Linked DNA regions of Schizosaccharomyces pombe. The gene in region 1 interacts genetically with each later gene. Each region holds a gene or a part of one and is shown in the gene's direction. Other genes may lie near its edges. The genes, in order: gsf1, rad24, gsf2 and mbx2.

Region 1 (6,068 bases):
CACCACCAAACCATTACTATGCAAGAGATGGCAGTACGGAGACGGGTGAAGGAAAGAGCGAGTAGATCGTGTTGCTGAAAAGGCCGACACATCCTTTCAACGCCGACCATTGTTTCTATTTTCACACAAAAAAAATAAATCCAATCCGTGAAATTAATAAAAAGCATAGAGGAAAAACGGGTTGTATACTGAGAGCTGTCAAACCGATATGGCGACACGGCTAAATAGGAATTTCGGCGATTTGGCCCTTAAGAGCAGGACTAGATAAGTAACCGAGCTATGAAAATAGTAAAACTTAGCTCACCTTACATTTGTTGCCAGGCAAACGGTGAACCTTCTTCTATCTTATTGCTGAATTCTCGTCATTCTGGCTAGACATTGTGGGCACGCACGAGCGAAGATCTGTCACGAGGTTAGTTAGGATAACCGGCTCTACCGGGTTACTGTGGTTGTAGCCGGACAACCGTAATTATTTGTTGAGTGCTAGACAACGAATGAGATTAGATTGTATAAGAAGGAAACGAGCAAAAAAAGATGAGGGTAATAAAAATTTTATTTTTCTTTTGTAATAACAACAAATCCAAAGGAATAAGATAAAAAGTGTAAATATCCATTATTTCTCTCCCATTTCTCTTCTCTTCTCTTCCCTTCCCATTTCAAAAGTCCACTTCCTTTCATGTCGCATCTACCCACTCATCAACAAAGGAAAAAAGTTGCTTACTCATTTTAGATAACCTTTATTTATCGTTTAGTTCACGATGATGGGTGGATGCCACAAATGTTACGTAAAGTGCCAACTAGGTTGAAACCAGTCCCGGCTAAATGGAATCCCACCAGCTTCGTTAGCGTTATTCCCCTTGAATGAAGGGTGGAAAATCCCTTAGGGAAAAGATATCTCAATCTTTCGCATAGATACGAGACTAGCATGAATAACGTTGCTCTTGTTCTTCCACTTTACCCGAATATCACCTTCCCTTACCATAAACAGGTCGTTTAATTTCGCAAATTTACTTTTTTTCAGTCCACCACCCTGAGGCCGCACCGTCGTTCCGATTCCGTACGGTCCGCCATTAAGATTTAAGAGGTAGGTTGAAGAGGAAGGGCAGGGTGTTATGCAATCCAATCCCTTGTACCGGGAAAGAAAAAAGAGTTGAGAGTTTGCTTGCGTATCGACTTTTTGCCGCTTGAGGGTAAAAGCAGTGAATGGTGGAAAAATTCGTCAATCAAGCAATCAAGCGAAAAAAAAAAGAGAAAACCCACCCTGTCCAGCGAGCAAGCTTATACAAAGGGATGTTTGCTTTTGAACGGAAAATGTGCGACATTCATTCCCTTTCCCTTGCTCTTTGCCAATGTAAAGAAGACATATTTTTTTTCTCTACAATTTGAAAATGCGAGCATAGTGAAATGCTGAGATGCATTCTGATTGCTCTTCATCACCCATTGTGGCTTGTGTCTATGGGTATGTTTTTTTTTTTTATGTGTATGTATGTATGTATGTGTGTGTATGGATGATGACGCTGTTTAGCATGAGCATGAATACCTATGGTTCGGCAATTATAACTCTTGACCGCACACACACGCACACCACTCACTTTCCAAGTAGATAATTACACTGCAGAATTGTTGCTCTTCACTCCTCTCTGTCTGACTAGAAATGCTTTTGGAAGGGGGAGATGCGTCAACACGTGCCACCTCTGTTAGGGTAGTTTCCCCTTGCCTCTTTAGCCTGGCCGCCCTGAAAAGGTTTATGTCTAGATGTGCATGTGGGATGGACCTGTTTCGTTCGGTTGCGTGACCAAAGACCGCCTTCTCCTATTGGCTAGGAATCCTTTGATTAGCTTGTTAAAGAATTCGGGTTACTGGTTATGATGTCATTATTTGACTTTGAGTGCTTAAGGTAGCGCGGGTCCTCGCCAATTTTTTTTTCGCATCGACTTTGCCCCGCGAGATACTTGTTGACTTTTTTTAATATATTACTGTTGTCTTCCACCACATTTCTCCCCTTACTTGATGCCTAGACAGTGCAACTATTAATAAATAGTAGATTGTTGAAAAGTAATCCTACTATATTTATAATCAACTTATCTTATAGATTTGAAGGCGAATTGCTCGCTTTACCATTATTCATCTTCTAAACGAAAGAAAAAAACACACACACATACACATCGACAATTTGCTTGTTGCATCTTGAGTTCGTTGCTTTGTGTTTTTATTTTTTTCCATAGCAAAGTCATTAACCACCAACAAACTGCTATCCCATTTGTCGAAAGACATTTTCTTTGTAGTGTACGTTTGTCGTTTGTTTGGCTCTTTTTATTTTTAGTTGCCAACTTAATTTTCTATTTCAATTTCTATCCCCCCCTTATAAAGTTTCTTTGTTGAGGTTTTTATTTTTCTTTTTGGCCTCTTAATTAACCATCCATCACCTACCTCCCTTTCTTATCTGTCTGTCTCTTCTTTACTTAGTCTTTTGCCAGTGAATCAGTCAGTCAGTACAACCCTACCTATTCTTTCTCTTCCTACCGTTCCATACTGTCAAATAGTGCCGGCTGCGTTAGCTATTCTTAGTAAACTCGACGGTGTGTAGTGATCCCCCCTCTTCGTTGTCAAGTTTGCGTTTCGGTTCGCTCGACCTGACTCCGCCTAATTTGGGGTGCTTTTTCTTTTTGATAACCTTGGATCCATTGCTTTCGGTAGTTGGATTTGGATAGTTGTGCCCCAGCTTCGTCTCCTCTTCGGAATTATATTTTAAATTTTCCCCAACCGGACATACTTTTATTTCTTTTAAATAACGAACGAAACGTCTTTTTTAGATTTCATCCCGCTTACGTTCATCGATAATATTTTACCTCGCTTATTTCTCTCTGATCACGAAGAAGTGATTTTTGTTTTTGTTTTTGTTTTCTATTCTTCTTCGCACCTTTACTAGGTTGATTTTGGTCTTGTTTTTTCTTTTACTTATTTTTGTATTTTTTTTCGGTCGATTGGTAACTTAGTTTATTCTGTGGTTTTCGTCCTTTCACATTCCTCATTAAATTTCGTAAGACTCACTCGACCACTTTTCTGATTTGCATTTTTATATTCCGTTTGATTTGGTATTCTTCGTATATTATAGCATTTTTGTTTGCTGTTTAATTTTGCCAAATCCTCCACTCCCAATTGATTGAACTTAATTGGTAACGCACTGATAATATTTTATTGTGTTGCTCTTCTCTATAAAAATATTTTTTTAGAATCGAATTTGTATCCCACCCTTTATTTTAGGACTTGTCGACTTTCCTTCTTTTCTTTTCTTCTCTTACCAATCAGTTAGTTGTCTTCTACTGATTGTAAAAAGGTTTTTACGCGGACTGGCTAATTTGTATTTTCGCTTCTCCTTTTTGTTTTATAACCGTAAATTTCTTATTTTATAATCTTTTCCAATGGAGTATCATCCTTCTTCTCAATCTCCTCAGGTAAATCCTGGAATGGAATCCCAGCAAGGCGGTTATACGTACACTTACCAACAGCCAGCACCTCCAAATTCATTGCATCTTCAGCATCCCTCAATACTAACTCGACTTCCCCCACTCTCCTCCTCCGTAGTTTCTCCTTCTCTCGCTTCATTGCCGCCTTTTACTCCTACATCAACATATCATTCCATTGCAGCTCTAACTCCACCCTCCTACCCCCAGAGTTCTTCTGCCCCTTCTAATAATTCATACACCATAGTGCCTTCCCCCCATGACCCATCGAATGCCTATAGCATGCATCATGTCCTTCAAAATACTGCTCCTCAGTCCGTTCCATCTCCTTCTCCCATCGAGATGGTCCCTCCCTCACCTCCAAAAACTGGCTCAAATAATAGTGCTCCTGTTACCGGTAAAACCGTGCAATCAGGGAATGCTCTTAATAATAGTGGGTTGGTTAAACGCCAAGCTAGAAAAAGAACTAAAACTGGTTGCTTGACCTGTCGCAAGCGAAGAATTAAGTGTGATGAACGGAAACCGATTTGCTACAACTGTATCAAATCGAAAAGGCAATGTGAGGGTTATACTCATTTCCCTCGCCCCTCTGGCACATTTACGGCATCTCGAAGAATCCCTGTTTCCAGTTTATTGTCAGAGCCAGCGCCACATGGTTTAGCTGGCCAACCTACACATCCCACATTTCTTTACTATATACAATCGGTGGCTCCTTCCCTTTGTCTTTGGGATGCATGTCACTTTCCCCCTTTAAGTCCATATTCTTCATTTTCAAGTATATATTGGTCATCAACTGTTCCTGAACTTGCTTTAAGAAATCCCAATATTAGTGTAGCCCTCTATGCTTTCGCCAGCGCCAAGCGTCATCTAACGGATGATGCCGTAGCTTTTGCACGTCAAGCCCGTGTTGCGCTTACCAACATTACTACCACTGACAGTCTTCTCATCTTAGTCTTGCTAGCAGTTACCCAACTATACATTCCAAAAAGCGATATCCAACTCTTCAATTTTGCTGTTGATCAAGTAGTCAAGTTTGATGCATCTTTAATGACTAGCCCTAGCGATGAAATTATTACTTATTTATTGCGCCGTATGTTTATTCGTCAAGTGGTATTGGCTGGAATTGTGAAGCCATTAGCATCGGGTTTGAATCCATTGCCTTTACTCAAATGTGATTTGCCCCCTGCAACTACACCTACTGCTGTTCTCGATGAATCTCTTTTCCACCTTGGTTTACGAAAGCTTTGTCATGAAAAGGGCCTTGAGCCCGAGTTTACTAAGTGGTCGAAAAATTGCCCTATAGATAAGGCTGATTTACCCCGCCTGGCTCTACTGATGATTCACGCCGTTTTCACCTCTCCTGTATCATTAGCTCAATGGGTTGAATTGATCCTTCAAAATCCTGACCCAACACCCGCCATTCATATCGCGAGAGCGTGCCTATTAGCCGTTCATGGCGTCGTTGATTTGGGTGATTTACAAATGAAAGTTGAGAAATGTGTACAATCCTGTGAAGAACGCCAACTTCAAGCTACCATATCGAACTTTTCAACAGAAGTTGCTCAAACTAATTCTTCCGCTTTAGCCATTGGTTGTCAATAACTATCTCGCAGCTTCTAATTTCGTCTTAAGAAGGTTGCTGCCGTGTACTTTGTTGCTTGTATAATCAGGTTTTATTAATAAAGCAGCAGTAAATGTTAACATCTCCTAAACGCTTAATCCTGGTTTAGTGTTATTGCATCAGAGACGTCATGTTTTTTCGACGAAATTATGTTGGAGCTAGTAATAAGACACAAGCAGGCTTTGTTTTGAAGAAGATTGCTAAATTTTATCAATTGTGAAGTTAAAAAAGGTGATTGGACTCTTCTTTTCTTTTATAAAAATAATCATTAAAATGCTTTTATCGGCTTTTCGATGAAATATACATATTTCTTTGATTCAGCTAGCAAATTTGACGTGTTTGACGTTTAATCAGGTTTATCGTTCTACAGTTATACGTTATGGATGGACTATCCATTATCATATTGTTTTTGAGTTTGTTTATTTTTCGTTTGTTTGTTTTCAATGAAATGCATTCTTTACTATTTTGTTGCTATAATTCCGAATTAAATTTGTAAAGTATGTTATATTCCCATGCAGTTTACGTGTTTTCAGAATAACCTTAAACCCACTAGTTGTGTCTAGATTTAGGTTTTTAACTAAAGTTTTTTCGGGAAACCTCATTATCGAGTTATCACCGCAATTATTGTGAATTTTCTTCTTATTCTATTATTTTTGTAGCGAAAGTAATCTTATATAAACAGCGTAAATAAAATCAAATTAGAATACGTTATTTAATGAAATTCATATTGTAATTGTACGAAAGTTGATCCACGCTTTTCATTTAATTACATTTGCTTAGGAAATGCGTGCTTAATTTGGTTGCTAAATCTTAAGTCTCCCAGACGAGACTGTATTCAACGCACTTCAACGCCATAGCCGAACCCGATAGTGAACGTTATTCATGAATTGGGAGAATGAAAAATAAAAGTTAGTAAACAAAAGTTCCCTCACCCCACAACGATGCACATTTTTGTGCCTAAGTTATTAGAAAACCATCAATTT
Region 2 (3,741 bases), on another chromosome or scaffold:
AAAGGGATTGGTATGACCGATATCATAAAATTGAAGCAAGCAGGCGTTTGTACGGTGCAAGGAGTCCATATGTCCACAAAGAGATTTCTCCTTAAAATCAAAGGTTTCAGCGAAGCCAAAGTGGATAAACTGAAGGAAGCGGCATCAAAAATGTGCCCAGCAAACTTTTCCACTGCGATGGAAATCAGTCAAAATCGTAAAAAAGTATGGAGTATTTCGACAGGATCCGAGGCACTCAATGGCATCCTTGGAGGGGGAATTCAGTCGATGAGTATTACAGAAGTATTTGGAGAGTTTCGTTGTGGTAAAACACAAATGTCGCATACATTGTGTGTCACTGCCCAGCTTCCTCGAGATATGGGCGGGGCCGAAGGAAAAGTAGCATTCATAGATACAGAAGGAACATTTCGACCTGATCGAATCAAAGCCATTGCAGAACGATTTGGTGTAGACGCCGATCAGGCTATGGAGAATATCATTGTCAGTAGAGCATACAACTCTGAGCAACAAATGGAATACATCACAAAATTAGGAACCATTTTTGCTGAAGATGGCCAATACCGTTTGTTAATTGTCGATTCCATCATGGCACTATTTCGGGTTGACTATTCGGGTCGCGGGGAATTATCAGAAAGGCAACAAAAATTAAACATTATGCTTGCTAGATTAAATCATATTTCTGAAGAGTTTAACGTAGCGGTCTTTGTCACAAATCAGGTTCAAGCAGACCCCGGAGCAGCAATGATGTTTGCGTCCAACGATCGAAAACCTGTAGGAGGCCATGTCATGGCTCACGCAAGCGCGACCCGTCTGCTGTTAAGAAAAGGTCGAGGTGAGGAACGTGTCGCAAAATTGAATGATTCTCCAGATATGCCTGAAGCCGAGTGCAGTTATGTGATTACACCTGGTGGCATAGCAGACGTTTCCTAATTGATTTTCTACCTATTCCAAAAAAAAAACAAAAAAAGAAGAGAAATAAGAAAAAAGATCAGCCAAGTTCAGCAATGCCTTTTATCATTGCGTTTGTGCTTATGTTTTAACAAAATTGAGTGCACTGATTACGTTAATGTTAACATTTTACTGCTGCAATACTATATCTTTAATACAATAATCAGTTCACTATTGGTCTCTAAAATGGCTTTAAAGAAAAAGTTTGGATGAGAAGCTCGCGCCATTTTAGATAACCAAACCAAGATTTTCTTAACTACACATTTATCAAATAGTTGCGAATGGCGCAAACCCCCAAAAGCAACTTATTCTTACGAGTCAACAAATTTGTTTAAGTAGTGTCATGTGAAGTTGCTATCGCATGTATCAATTAACAAAAGCTGAGCGCCTTTCATTGCAATCGTTGGACAATCTGACTTCCACCAAACAATTATATCGTGTGAGACAGAATTCGTCATCACCTTTGTTCCAGTTTATTTCCCGATTCTATGAAGGCCTGCAGATTTGCACGTGTTCAGGCACCTTCCTTTCGATGTTTACCTTTTGCGTCAATATGACAAAAGGGGTACAGTTTCTCTTGATCCGTTGCCAAGGATGTGTTTACCCCGGGGCTTTGTCGCAACAAACGAGAACAGTCCAGCAGCCAGGTTTTTCGATAACCTTCTGTCGTGCCGATAAATTACGATGCGCAGTCGCTAAATTCGACATACAGAAGCACAGGGCACGTTTACGCAGTGCTACGAAATTTTACTGTGGGAGCAGTCCTTTTTCTACCATACGACGTTCCGCAACCTTTCCAGTGCCAACCACCACGATATACTCACATTTTCGAACGTTTGGTAAAAATGTCTACTACTTCTCGTGAAGATGCTGTTTATTTAGCCAAACTTGCTGAGCAAGCCGAGCGCTATGAAGGTATGTGCTTTTATAAGGTTTAGAGACGCGTAGAGCAGAGATATATTTGGTGTTATTTCTGCAAGAACAAAATTACACACATCCAAGGTTCTATCGGCGGAAGCTTTTGAGTAAGCGGGCTTCCTGTAAAACATCGATTGCATTTATTTTTGACATAGTTGTGATCAGAGGCTTAGTTGGTAGAATGTTTGTGTTTGTGTGTTGTATGGTGGTTGTCAAATGAACTGTGCATTGGCTATGGTGATGTTGAAAAGGTGTTTTAGTATTTCAACTTGTTTCCTAACTTTATTTCTAATTGTTTTTACTCCGAGAAGAAATTTTTTTGTTCATACAGACATACGGAAAATACATCATGCTGCGCATCTCGAAAGTCGAAATCCTTATGTACTTATCACTAATATATCCAGGCATGGTTGAAAACATGAAAAGCGTTGCCTCCACTGATCAAGAATTGACCGTCGAAGAGCGTAACTTGCTCTCTGTTGCTTATAAGAATGTAATTGGAGCTCGCCGGGCGTCTTGGCGTATCGTTTCCTCCATCGAGCAAAAGGAGGAGAGCAAAGGCAATACTGCTCAAGTTGAATTAATTAAGGAATATCGTCAAAAGATTGAACAAGAACTTGACACTATTTGCCAAGATATCTTGACCGTTCTTGAGAAGCACCTTATCCCTAATGCTGCCTCTGCCGAATCCAAGGTTTTCTACTACAAGATGAAGGGTGACTACTATCGTTACCTTGCTGAGTTTGCCGTTGGTGAGAAGCGCCAACACTCCGCTGATCAATCTCTTGAAGGTTACAAGGCCGCTTCTGAAATTGCTACCGCCGAACTTGCACCTACTCATCCTATCCGCTTAGGTCTTGCTCTTAATTTCTCCGTTTTCTACTATGAGATCTTGAACTCCCCCGACCGTGCTTGCTACTTAGCCAAGCAAGCCTTTGATGAAGCTATCTCCGAGTTGGACAGCCTTTCCGAGGAATCCTACAAAGATTCTACTTTAATCATGCAATTGTTGCGTGACAACCTTACCTTATGGACTTCTGATGCTGAATACAGTGCCGCCGCTGCTGGTGGTAACACCGAGGGAGCTCAAGAAAACGCTCCTTCCAATGCTCCAGAAGGCGAAGCTGAGCCCAAGGCGGACGCATAGATAGCTCGTTGCTCATGATTGATGCCATACTTTCACTACTATGAACCAATTTTAAAAAATTTATTTGTCTAAGAGTTCTTTTTCGTTTAGATCTTGTGTACTACACGATGGAATAGTCTCATTACATTCTCGTATATTTTCTTCTAATTTTTTTTTCTTTTTGTCTTTCTTTAAATTTCTTTTTTTTTTACAGTCGTAGTATATGTGTGTATTTGGTAGCTGCTGTAAAAAATACAGTAGTTGGACGACATTTTAATTTCGAGTACACAACCCGTAATGATTTGCTTGGCTAAGTGGGTGTTGAGTTAATCAAGCAATAGTCTAGATAGATGTGAGTTTCAAACTGAAGAGTTGGTAGATTGAGAATGTTTAAGCCTATCGGATTGAATTTGAGCTTTTTGACTGATTTGCACCGAATTGCTTAATATTCCTTGCATACGACCGATGTACCACTTTTTACACAAAGCTTAAAAATTTGTATGTTCTAGTGATACTCAAACATTATTAAATATAAAAGCTTTAAGTTTGCATATAAAACGCACAGTAAACATTTGAATCGATGCCTGTGAGACCATGCATACATTTCACGCCTCCAGAAGGATTTATGAATGATCCCAATGGTCTGGTTTACAGTAATGGAAAATGGCATTTGTTTTTTCAATGGAATCCAACAGGAAACCAAGCCGGTAATCAACATTGGGGCCATGCAGTGAGTAAAAACCTGTATA
Region 3 (7,971 bases), on another chromosome or scaffold:
GAAAAAATAATATAGAAATAGAATTAACAAGTGGGACACAAGTATCAAAGTAAAAAATAAAATATAAATAGAAATAAAGAATCAAATTACCATCTTGTATATCTTCTTCTCTTTAATTATGCTTAACGACGACCTCGCTAATCGTAGAAACCTCTTGTTTTGAAAAGGTGAATAACGAAGCGGAATGGAGTCACAATGTTCTCCTTCTTCATATGATGCCATAAATAAACAAGGAAGCGAAATTTAAAAGCCGCAATTGGACAATGTGTTTGACATCATCCTTCCACTCAACGAACAGATAACATCATGTCATGACGTATAAGCTTTAGTGTTTTTGTATTTGAGAAACAAACATTGGTCAAGGATTACCGAAAATTTAAAGGGTTGATTTACCGAAATCATGACGTATTCCATTCAATTTCAGCACGAGGAAGAGGTAAAGAACATCAAGTAACGGAGACCCTATGTAAATAAAGAAAGCATGGAAGAACAAATAAAGGTAAGGAACAATAAAATGTCTAAGAAAAAAAAGAAACAAATACGACTTCTCTTCGAAAAAAAACAACAACAACAACAATTAACGATTGCTCTTTTCTTTACATATATATATTTTTTTATCGTAATTTGATTGCCTTGTTTTCCATGGGAACCCGAGTGTATGAATATTGGTGAATTCGTATGTACACATAAAACTTTACTGTGTGAAAACAAATAATGAATTAAAAAAAAAGAAAAGAAAAGCATCTGATTCAGCCACCTCTTTTTTATCTAATTTCCCTTCTACAGTTTATGAAAATTGGATGCATAATCGAAATTGCCCTCTTGCCTTGTCGGACCGATGGTTATTTACTAATAGTATATAAGCCTACCCCTTTTGCTTAACGAAGCATTTTACGAGTCGTAAAGTTGAAATTAGCGAAAAGTTTCGCAGCACATAAATTGACAATTCCACAGAAAAAAAAAATGTTTGAAAGAGAGAGAGTGTGTGTGATTCAGGATTCTCTTTTTTTATTCTTTTTTATTTTTGGGGGTAAGGTATTCTACAATACACGAAGAAGACTTTTTTTAAAATGTCCATCTAAAAATAGAGAAACTTAGAAGACAATCGAAGAAAATAAGATCCCCTTTGATCACTGAATGCACTACACTACACTGCACTAATTCCGTTTATGAATGCCGTTTAGTACGGCAGGAGCGGGTTACTGCTAAAAATAAATAACGACGGCTACTAAGAATAGAAAGTAAAGTGGGTGTGCTATCCGATGTTGGTTATTTACAGAAATAGACGAGAAACACAAGAAGCTGCTTACAAACAAAAAGTATTTGTTGTGTGAATGGTGGATGAAAATAGAAAGGTTCTTGTTTTAACTTCTTCTCATATCTTTTAAACGAATAATTAATGAGTGTTTCTTTATTCGTGAGTCTATATTCTCGGGTTTCCTTCTCAAACTTTCATCCAAAATAGCTAGTTCTATAAAAATAACCATTTCAACATGTGCCTAGGCATTGCCGGCTTTACCATCCATGATGGCTAAGCCAAACTAGCTTTAATCACAACCAGAGCAAAAAGTACACACTGACCGAAAATAGTACATACTGACCTGACTGTTTAGTGAAGTAGAGCGTAGCATGTACACAGTAGCAAAAAGGATATAGTACGTTGGCTTTGACGTTTGGAAAAGAAGCAAAAGAATTCATTTCATTCTAAAAAGATTTCCATATATTTTATGTAATTTTTCTCGTAATTATCAAGGCTTTCGTTCATTTCTTGTCCTTGTTTTTCCGATCCAATTTGCTTAAAAAAAAAAAAAAAAAAAAAAAAACTCATTCCGATTCACTATATTACTTAAGAATGCAGTATATATAATTAGCGTAGAGTAATGAGAGTTGCAAAAATTACCACCATTCTACGGGACCAGATTGACAACACCTGGTGAGCGCCGCCATGCATTCTGCCTCCAAGGCAAGCTGGACTATAAGCCGGCAGAGGTTTGACATACTTGTAATTTTATGAATTGGACATATAGAAGTAAATGCAAGTATTTTTATCCGAGGAGAACGCTAGTTGGAGGGAGAAGATGAAACAATAGTGGTGATAACAAAAAAAACAAAAACAATTGCCAAAAATTGTAGGAAAAGAAATTGGAAAAGGACGCGTAAAAAGTCATTCAAATCAGTAGAAACTTTCCAATGCGCGAATGGACATCCATCCATAATATTGAAAGGTTATTTTTCGTTTACAATCGTCGCAATTCAAATAGACGCGAAAAAATAGCAACTGAACGCTGCCACCTTAAAATTGAACTAAAAAATTTCAATTATAAATGCTTTGATCACTAAGCAAACATTGAAAATCTAACGACTTAGACGTTGCATAACTAATGAATTGACATTGCATGAACTACTACTACATCCTTCTAAACACCGCCTTTCTCGCTACCACAACCCCATCTCTACTACACTTCCACTCACTTACTCATCATTCTTCATAGTCGCACTTTTTCATTTCTCTCCTGTCATCTCCACAAATTAAATCTTAATCTCTTGTTTCACTAGCTTCTTAATTGCAATTAAAATTGCGCTTGCTACATCCTCTACACTACTCCTGTAATCAGCCTTCTTTTCTTCTCTTTCTTTAGCATACTCGGTCTCGTTATTCCATATATCGAAATTTTCTTCTTCGCTCGACCTCGATATTCTTAGGAACCAGCACAGAATGCAAAAGTGGATCCTTACCTCCATGTTCCCGAGATAGAGATTATTCCCTAGCCGAAATTAGAATTTGCGAAGAGGTTTTATGTTATCGCGGGGTCTTCCACATAGGTGACAACGATTTTTTAAATTCGAATTCAAAATGTTTCTCTAAAAAAAGAAAAACTTGCAAAAACGGGGAACATTTGAGAAAAGGGTCATCGGGGTACAGAGAGAGGGGTATAGAAAAAGTCGCAAAGGAAAAATTCCGTAAATATTCATTGCTAAAATTTCACACAGATTGGTTTGGGTGTAGTTATTTATAAATATGGCCGCATCTACTTAAGAAAGTTATTTCGCTCCTACATTGAAGGCGAGTGGTCGAGTGTTCGTCAATCAGTCATCAATTGAACATCCAAAACATTCTTAACGAGATTAAGATCGTTGACTTTCTTCTATAAAAGCAAAGCATCGAGAAAGATTCGAACATTGCAAAAAAAAAGGATTACCTATTCCATATACACCATCTGTCTCTCTCTTTTTGTTGAGGTTGCTAGAGTTTGGTTATTGGAACTTTCTTTTTTTTGTTGTATCATCATTTGTTTCCTTCCTTCCATCTTTATTTTGGGAAAGCGACTTGATCTCTCTTCGCTGCACGAATCTGTGATAACAATATCTTCACTCATTCTTTTCGCCAGCATCCAATTTTGTTTTTTTTTTGAGAAACAAATCTGCTCTTGTACATATTCTACATTCTTTTGAATTACAAGTGGGTATTTTACATTCATTTGAATAATTTAAAATAAATCTGGCTAGCATTTATTTTTTAATATTCTCCCCTTTTTTCTTTACATCCCCCATTCTATCGTCTAGGATTTCGGGTTGAAATTGGGTTTTAAGTTGTCCTACATTTACACAAAATAAACACTGGGTAATTTCGTGTTTGGGTTGGTTTGGTAATACAGCTTGCGAATCTCCTTTCATCCAGTTATTTTTTATTTATATATATTATTTCTTTCATTAATCTTTTCGCAATTTTGCATTCATTTAAACCCTCTTTTCTTCATTCTCTGTTGAAACTACGAGCTTTATTCATTTGGGATTCACTATTTTTCTAATTGAATTTCTATCATATTATCAATAAACGCGCTCTGCACACCAATCGTCAAGCATTGGATTTAATTTTGTTTTTGATAATATTTAATTTTTTTATTCGTTTGGTTAAATTATCTTAATAATTTTGTTTTTTTCTAATTCACTTACCCGTTTTTGAATATATCAACAATGTCTGTTAGAAGGTTTTTATCCACATCTGCTCGGGCATTACTTTTCACGGCTGCTCTTCTTCCCTCCTTGACTTCTGGTCTACCTTCTGGAAATGTCAGGATTTTGCAAAAGGGAATGGAACCTGAAGATTACCTTTCCTCTGCATCACAAAATGAAGTGCCTCACGATATTTCACTTCCAAAGACCGAGCTTGCGGATCCAAATTTCCTAGTTGACGATATGCCAACCTTACTTGGCAGAGACGCTGCTGTTGATCCTAGCATGTTTACTAGCACCTTCACAGTAAAAAATGGAAATGATGCTAACTACATTACTGCTAGTCCCGTTAGCAACGACGCTTCCATGACTGCTATTAGCACTTTTACCTCAGGGAAAGAAGCTTCTTATGCAATTCAAGCAAGCCCATCTACCTTTCTTCCTGATTCGACTACCACTTCAGGTTCACAAGTTTCAAATGCTGTTGAAGCGAGCTCAACTTTTGTAGCTGATACGACTAGCACCTCATGCAACCCAGCAACGGTTTTAATTGTAACCACATCTGGTTCAACAAGTACTAGTTGTCCCCCTCCAACAACAATTCTTATTGTTACAGTCCCTACCACAACCACAACAACTACTGTTGGATATCCTGGATCCGTCACTACTACCTTGACTGGAACTCCTAGCAATGGTACTGTTATTGATACTGTTGAGGTTCCCACTACTACTAACTATGGTTACACCACTATTACCACTGGTTATACTGGATCCACTACTCTTACCACTACTGTTCCTCACAGTGGTAATGAGACTGGACCTACTACAGTTTATGTGGAGACTCCTTATCCCACAACTGTCACTACCACCACTACTGTTGGATATCCTGGATCCGTCACTACTACTTTGACTGGAGCTCCTAGCAATGGTACTGTTATTGATACTGTTGAGGTTCCCACTACTACTAACTATGGTTACACCACTGTTACCACTGGTTATACTGGATCCACTACTCTTACCACTACTGTTCCTCACAGTGGTAATGAGACTGGACCTACTACAGTTTATGTGGAGACTCCTTATCCCACAACTGTCACTACCACCACTACTGTTGGATATCCTGGATCCGTCACTACTACTTTGACTGGAGCTCCTAGCAATGGTACTGTTATTGATACTGTTGAGGTTCCCACTACTACTAACTATGGTTACACCACTGTTACCACTGGTTATACTGGATCCACTACTCTTACCACTACTGTTCCTCACAGTGGTAATGAGACTGGACCTACTACAGTTTATGTGGAGACTCCTTATCCCACAACTGTCACTACCACCACTACTGTTGGATATCCTGGATCCGTCACTACTACTTTGACTGGAGCTCCTAGCAATGGTACTGTTATTGATACTGTTGAGATTCCCACTACTACTAACTATGGTTACACCACTATTACCACTGGTTATACTGGATCCACTACTCTTACCACTACTGTTCCTCACAGTGGTAATGAGACTGGACCTACTACAGTTTATGTGGAGACTCCTTATCCCACAACTGTCACTACCACCACTACTGTTGGATATCCTGGATCCGTCACTACTACTTTGACTGGAGCTCCTAGCAATGGTACTGTTATTGATACTGTTGAGGTTCCCACTACTACTAACTATGGTTACACCACTATTACCACTGGTTATACTGGATCCACTACTCTTACCACTACTGTTCCTCACAGTGGTAATGAGACTGGACCTACTACAGTTTATGTGGAGACTCCTTATCCCACAACTGTCACTACCACCACTACTGTTGGATATCCTGGATCCGTCACTACTACTTTGACTGGAGCTCCTAGCAATGGTACTGTTATTGATACTGTTGAGGTTCCCACTACTACTAACTATGGTTACACCACTGTTACCACTGGTTATACTGGATCCACTACTCTTACCACTACTGTTCCTCACAGTGGTAATGAGACTGGACCTACTACAGTTTATGTGGAGACTCCTTATCCCACAACTGTCACTACCACCACTACTGTTGGATATTCTGGTTCGGTAACTACTACTTTGACTGGTAGCGGTAGCAATAGCATTGTTACTGAAACTGTTGATGTCCCTACCACTACTAGTGTTAATTATGGTTATACTACTATTACGACTGGCTGGACTGGATCAACCACGCTTACTTCTATTGTTACTCACAGTGGAAGTGAGACTGGTCCCACTACAGTTTATATCGAAACTCCCAGTGTTTCGGCTACTACTACCACTACTACCATTGGATATTCCGGATCTCTTACAACTACATTGACCGGTTCCTCTGGCCCTGTTGTTACCAACACAGTTGAGATTCCTTATGGAAACTCTTCGTATATCATTCCTACAACCATTGTTACTGGCACCGTTACTACTGTGACAACTGGTTATACTGGTACTGAGACTTCTACTGTTACAGTTATTCCTACTGGAACCACTGGAACCACTACAGTTGTTATTCAAACGCCTACCACAGTGACTGCAACTGAAACCGACATTGTTACTGTTACAACTGGTTACACTGGAACTGAGACATCTACTGTCACAGTTACTCCTACTGGAACCTCTACCGGAACCACTACAGTTGTTATTCAAACGCCTACCACAGTGACTGCAACTGAAACCGACATTGTTACTGTTACAACTGGTTACACTGGAACTGAGACATCTACTGTCACAGTTACTCCTACTGGAACCTCCACTGGAACCACTACAGTTGTTATTCAAACACCTACCACAGTGACTGCGACTGAAACCGACATTGTTACTGTTACAACTGGTTACACTGGAACCGAGACATCTACTGTCACAGTTACTCCTACTGGAACCTCCACTGGAACCACTACAGTTGTTATTCAAACACCTACCACAGTGACTGCGACTGAAACCGACATTGTTACTGTTACAACTGGTTACACTGGAACCGAGACATCTACTGTCACAGTTACTCCTACTGGAACCTCCACTGGAACCACTACAGTTGTTATTCAAACACCTACCACAGTGACTGCGACTGAAACCGACATTGTTACTGTTACAACTGGTTACACTGGAACCGAGACATCTACTGTCACAGTTACTCCTACTGGAACCTCCACTGGAACCACTACAGTTGTTATTCAAACACCTACCACAGTGACTGCGACTGAAACCGACATTGTTACTGTTACAACTGGTTACACTGGAACCGAGACATCTACTGTCACAGTTACTCCTACTGGAACCTCCACTGGAACCACTACAGTTGTTATTCAAACACCTACCACAGTGACTGCGACTGAAACCGACATTGTTACTGTTACAACTGGTTACACTGGAACCGAGACATCTACTGTCACAGTTACTCCTACTGGAACTGCTACTGGAACCACTACGGTTGTCATTAATACTCCTACAACTACTGGTTCTGAGGTCCTTCCCACTACTGGTGCTACTGGAACTGCTGGTACTGAGACTCAACTCACTACTGCTACCGAGGTTCAACCTACTACTGGTGCTACTGGCACTGCTGGTACTGAGACTCAAGTCACTACTGGTACTGAAACCCAAGCTACTACTGCTACTGAGACTCAAGCTACTACTGCCACTGAGGTTCAAACTACTACTGGTGCTACTGGAACTGCTGGTACCGAGACTCAAGCTACTACTGCTACTGAGGTTCAACCTACTACTGGTGCTACTGGAACTGCTGGTACTGAGACTCAAGTCACTACTGCTACCGAGGTTCAACCTACTACTGGTGCTACTGGCACTGCTGGTACTGAGACTCAAGTCACTACTGGTACTGAAACCCAAGCTACTACTGCTACTGAGACTCAAGCTACTACTGCCACTGAGGTTCAAACTACTACTGGTGCTACTGGAACTGCTGGTACCGAGACTCAAGCTACTACTGCTACTGAGGTTCAACCTACTACTGGTGCTACTGGAACTGCTGGTACTGAGACTCAAGTCACTACTGCTACCGAGGTT
Region 4 (4,518 bases), 620 kb from region 1:
GCGCACGTAAACTATATCGCAACGAAAGTATGTCAGTCGCCAGATAGGACTACTCCTAAAGTCTAATCCAAACTACTTCGTCTAGCTATACTAAAGTATAAGCAGGTCGTAACGGTCGATTCATTGCGAAATCAAATTACTCATAAGCTACCTCTCTGGTTATTTTTTCCCAATGTACTGTATTCGTATTGTACCCCATTCTTACCGGATACATTTATTAATAGAGCAAGTTACGAAAAGCAAAATCAGAGCGAGTCTATTTTCGGACTTGTGTGTCTAAGTATAGTCAAGGAGCGGAGACAACACTCGTAATATTGTTCCTTCACGCCCTCCTCCCCCTTTCCCCTTTGAATTGAGTATCGTACACTGCATCAGTAATAGGGTCAGCGTTTCCAATTGACTGACTGGTTGAAAAGTGAAGGATTACATACGAAAATCCCTAAACGCGATCATCAGCGCATTCCGAATTTTCGTATCTTTCTATCTCTTCGATTCTTTCTTTAGCCTTGCCAAGTATTTTGGCTGGCCCATACGCTTTGCCTGACTATCGCGTCTAAAAATAAAATCCCCTTTCCAAAACCTTGGATTAGGTGCATGGGATTACTATGATTCTTTCCTAATAATTGCTAATCCCGCTTTCTTTCTATTTTTTTCTACTATTACTGCAAAGTCAGGTTTGCAATCCAAGTGGACTTTAACCATACTCAAAAGGTACCTTCTAACCTTCTTTCCATTATGTCCATCTTCCTCCTCCAATTAAAGGATTTTCCTACTTAGGGCTCATTTAATCGAGGCTATCCCACCTTTTTCATGAAAAAGTATTCGGCCTTGTGACCTCCCCTTTTCGAAAAGAGAGATGAAGAAATAGTTTAAATTACCCGAGTAGCCGAAACGGTGAATTTTCAGAATGTCTACATGAGGAACATAATGTACACTTATACGCGTTTGTATATTGAGAATTCATCGGTAATGTTGGCAAAGTGCTACGCATCTTCGGATAAACGTGAATGGAAGACATTTAGCCCCTAATTTTGGTGTACTTATGCAGGAAAAACCTATCCCTTAACAATTGCCTATGGAGGGAAAGAGAAAATTTTTTTCGTTCACTATTGGAATTTATTTTCTTTTGCATAAATATGTACAATGGTATGTTACGATGCTGGCGTCGATACTTGTCTAAGTTAGAACGCAGTGTGTATTACGAAGGTTGCATTAAATAGACGTTGCGGTTTCCTAGTTATTGCTATCCCTGTATATATATACACATATATATGTACAAAAACACGTATTTACACGCACTTATAAACGCACACAGACAACAAACAAATACCTAATTTTATAATTTCAAGTTGTTGAGACAGATTAATTTATTTATAAAACTTGGCGAGAAGATATTTTTAAACCTGACATTGAAAAGGAGGGGACAATTGTTAAAAATATAGCTTCAAAGGCAAAAATTTCTCCAAAGTGTTGATTCTTCCTCTTTCTATTTTAAAAATAGCACACAAAAACATCTAGTCATTTAATTTGTCTTTGTTCCTCTCATTTGTAAACACTTGAAAACCACCCGTTCCGGCTATCTTGTTTACTAAAAAAATTTTTTCTATTAATATCTTTAGTTTCGTCGCCCGCTTCAACCCAGAGTACAAAAACAAAAATAGCTTCCTCGTTTTTAAATCTCAACTTAGATTCGTCTAATCGACTATCAATTACGAGCACAATTGGAGAACTTTGCGCTCTTGTTTTCTCAAGCGAAAAATCTACCCTCAAGAGATCCGGTGCAGAGAAGGGAAGACAGGGATAAAAACTGTTACATAAATTCCAAGAATAAACCCCATCTGCTGTTTTCTATTTGTTCCTTATATACTTGCCCGTTTGCTCGCTCGTTTGCTCGTTTGTTTTCGTCATTCTCCCTATACCTGAATTTTGGTTAACCTCGTCGACTCTTTTTCTCTTTTCTCGTCAAACCTTACTAAATATATACAACGTCTAATATGGGGCGCAAAAAAATCTCCATTGCACCCATAACCGACGATCGTTCAAGGAGCGTAACTTTTGTCAAACGAAAACAAGGTCTCTACAAAAAGGCGTATGAACTCGCTGTGCTAGCCGATTGTGAAGTCGCCGTCACAGTCATTGATCGGAAAGGACGTTTGCACGTCTTTTGTTCCTCTGACTATCAACGTACTCTTCAACAACTCAACACTCTCAGCATATATGAGTTAAAAAACCGTTCTCATTTTTCGTCATCGCCTGTCGAAGAGTCAAGTACCGTGTCTCCAGAAACGACAACTGGTTCATTTACTCCTCTTAATAATAAGCATTTGAAGTCACAGGACCAACCTTTATCAGACTCCCAACTCGACACTGGTGATTCTCCTGCAACATCGGAAACGACTGTTCAGGACTATAATCCTCAAGTTCAGTCTTACTGTCGTCCCGAGCCTTTATCGTCTAATCACGTTCGTTCTTGTCCTCCATTTCCTCCCACACAACATCATCATCCCCATACTCGTCCTCCTCATCATCCACCTCATCCTCATTTTCATAACAATAACTATCCACCGCCCTATTGTTTCCAATCTCCTGTGTCTCCGGGTGCTACAGTTCCATTGCAACATCATTCTCCGTACCCTAGTGATAACGGCTTTCCTGGTCATCGTAGGCAAACGCACTTCGCTCCTTACTACTATCCACAAAGAGCTACGTCTCCTTCTTTGAAACAAGTTCCAACTTATCTGGGTACTCATGTACTGCAACAAGACCAGTCCACCTATGATCAGAAGGTCCTTATGCCTCCAGCAAGTTATCTTTCTTCACCTAATCAATACACCTTAAAAAATGTCTCTCCTGGTAACCCGGCTTGCCCTCCTTTTCTCTATGAACATCCAAATCCACAGCTAACGCCTGAGATGTTTGATGTTAAACAAGGCTCACCTATTCCGCCTACTGCGTATTCGGGTAGCAGTTGTGAGACTTCTCAACATACCATTGCGAATACTCCATTTTTGGCATATGATCGCTCTCCTTCCTTAACGAATCAAGAAGCTGAATCATCCTTCCAAGACGTAGCTTCCATTAGTCCACATTCACTCAGTGATGTCAAATACTAAAGAATATCATAGAAGTCAATCTCCCTTTCAAATGTCTTCATCATGTGTCCTCCCTGGATCTAATGAATCGTATACAAGTAATAATTTTAGTTGGCATACATCTCGATCAAATCCTTACAATCGTTTTCTTACTCAAACTGCATATGATTTGGAGCAATCCAAGCACCAATAGTTTACTGCCAAGCTGTGCGATGCCCATTTTTTTAATTTGACTTACATCGCATTCCAGTAAACAATTGTTAATACTAGGTCTATCAATTTATCGTTATAGTTGAATTACGCGAACGAAATTACTGACCTAGCAATAATTGAAGTTTGGAATGTTGTTCAATAAAATGGACACCTACCGATAGCTTATGGATTCAATGTGAACTACAAACCTAGCATGATTTCAGACGCTAGCAAATACAAATACCTGAACATTTCAGATGTGCCAATGGTTTAACTTTGTTAACTTCCATCTTCGGTATTTTGGATCCTCCCTGTTATGAATTCAAGATGGTGATTTTCGGTTTAAATATTTATTTGCAAACTGCGGGCAGTTTATCACTTATTTATTCAGGCACGCATTTTGTCTATTCAAGTGGACTAAGTTTTTTCGTGATTTTGTTTTAACCACCTCCTTCCACTTCATTAATTAATTCACCAACATGTAACATTCGCGGACCAACCTTTATGTTCGCATTCAAATTTTTTTTTGGAGCCGCTAATTTCTAATTAGACGTTTCTCATTCGTTTTCAAGGTTATACATGGTTTATTTTCGTGTGTTTGACTCGATTTTTTGCTAGATTTTTCACGGTTTCTCCTTTTTAATCAAGAACGTTTGACGATTCACAGAACCTTTTTCAAACCCCTAATTACAGTTTTCAACAATAACATGAGAAATTCGAACTTTCCGTGTAGTTTTACAGAGTAATGTTTAAGTGTTTGTTAGTATGTCGGTGTGTAAGTGTAGCGTAGCGATAACCGTCCAGCTTCAAAGGTAAGATGCAGGGGAGTAATGCAGCAGCTAATTTTATATGGCGGAATGAGCATGGTAGCACTCTTCAAAGAAGGTGGAATAGGAATTTGGCTTCATGCGAAATTATGTTAACAGAAACCTGAGTTTCTGTAACATATTATTATATACGTGGCTTAGGACATCCAAACAAATAAATGAAATTCTTTAGTATAAGAAGATGAAGAAGATATAAAAGATTACCAATGTTATGCAAACGATGGAACATGAATCAACCGCATAAAACTCAGTCGCTGTATCAAAAATGACCATCGTGGGATGCTGACATAGGCAATCAAGTTTCTCACTTCAAATAAATTAGAGACTGATTTGGCAAATATTTGAGAATTGATCCTCTATTTGACAAATCATTTTAACTTATTTTATGACAGACAAGTCTGTTTGTA

What was found.
Region 2: of gsf1 (region 1) and rad24, extra expression of one rescues a mutant of the other (dosage rescue), as found in Schizosaccharomyces pombe (one study listed by BioGRID).
Region 3: of gsf1 (region 1) and gsf2, changing one suppresses a phenotype caused by changing the other (phenotypic suppression), as found in Schizosaccharomyces pombe (2 studies listed by BioGRID).
Region 4: of gsf1 (region 1) and mbx2, changing one suppresses a phenotype caused by changing the other (phenotypic suppression), as found in Schizosaccharomyces pombe (2 studies listed by BioGRID).

Annotation. Positions count from the first base shown.
Region 1 is NC_003423.3:3,009,512-3,015,579, forward strand, and holds gsf1 (protein gsf1), read left to right. Parts: upstream 1-2,000; 5' UTR 2,001-3,422; coding exon 3,423-5,066; 3' UTR 5,067-5,568; downstream 5,569-6,068. Other genes in the region: slm9 (histone H3.3-H4 chaperone, HIR complex WD repeat subunit Hip2), read left to right, coding at 6,027-6,068.
Region 2 is NC_003424.3:3,382,475-3,386,215, forward strand, and holds rad24 (14-3-3 protein Rad24), read left to right. Parts: upstream 1-1,752; 5' UTR 1,753-1,793; coding exon 1,794-1,863; exon of another isoform or gene 1,864-2,062; intron 2,063-2,270; coding exon 2,271-3,013; 3' UTR 3,014-3,211; downstream 3,212-3,741. Other genes in the region: RecA family ATPase Dmc1, read left to right, coding at 5-930; inv2 (beta-fructofuranosidase), read left to right, coding at 3,573-3,741. UniProt on the Schizosaccharomyces pombe protein: Acts in cell cycle and stress checkpoint signaling by sequestering signal transducers regulated by the checkpoints. Required for the DNA damage checkpoint that ensures that DNA damage is repaired before mitosis is attempted.
Region 3 is NC_003421.2:959,977-967,947, reverse strand, and holds the start of gsf2 (protein Gsf2), read left to right. Parts: upstream 1-1,935; 5' UTR 1,936-3,975; coding exon 3,976-7,971. UniProt on the Schizosaccharomyces pombe protein: Galactose-specific adhesion protein essential for non-sexual flocculation and filamentous growth. Required for adhesion and filamentous growth through recognition of galactose residues on cell surface glycoconjugates. Induces flocculation when overexpressed.
Region 4 is NC_003423.3:3,624,645-3,629,162, forward strand, and holds mbx2 (MADS-box transcription factor), read left to right. Parts: upstream 1-1,994; coding exon 1,995-3,113; 3' UTR 3,114-4,014; downstream 4,015-4,518. UniProt on the Schizosaccharomyces pombe protein: Acts in transcription regulation. May bind to a MEF2-like typee II promoter sequence.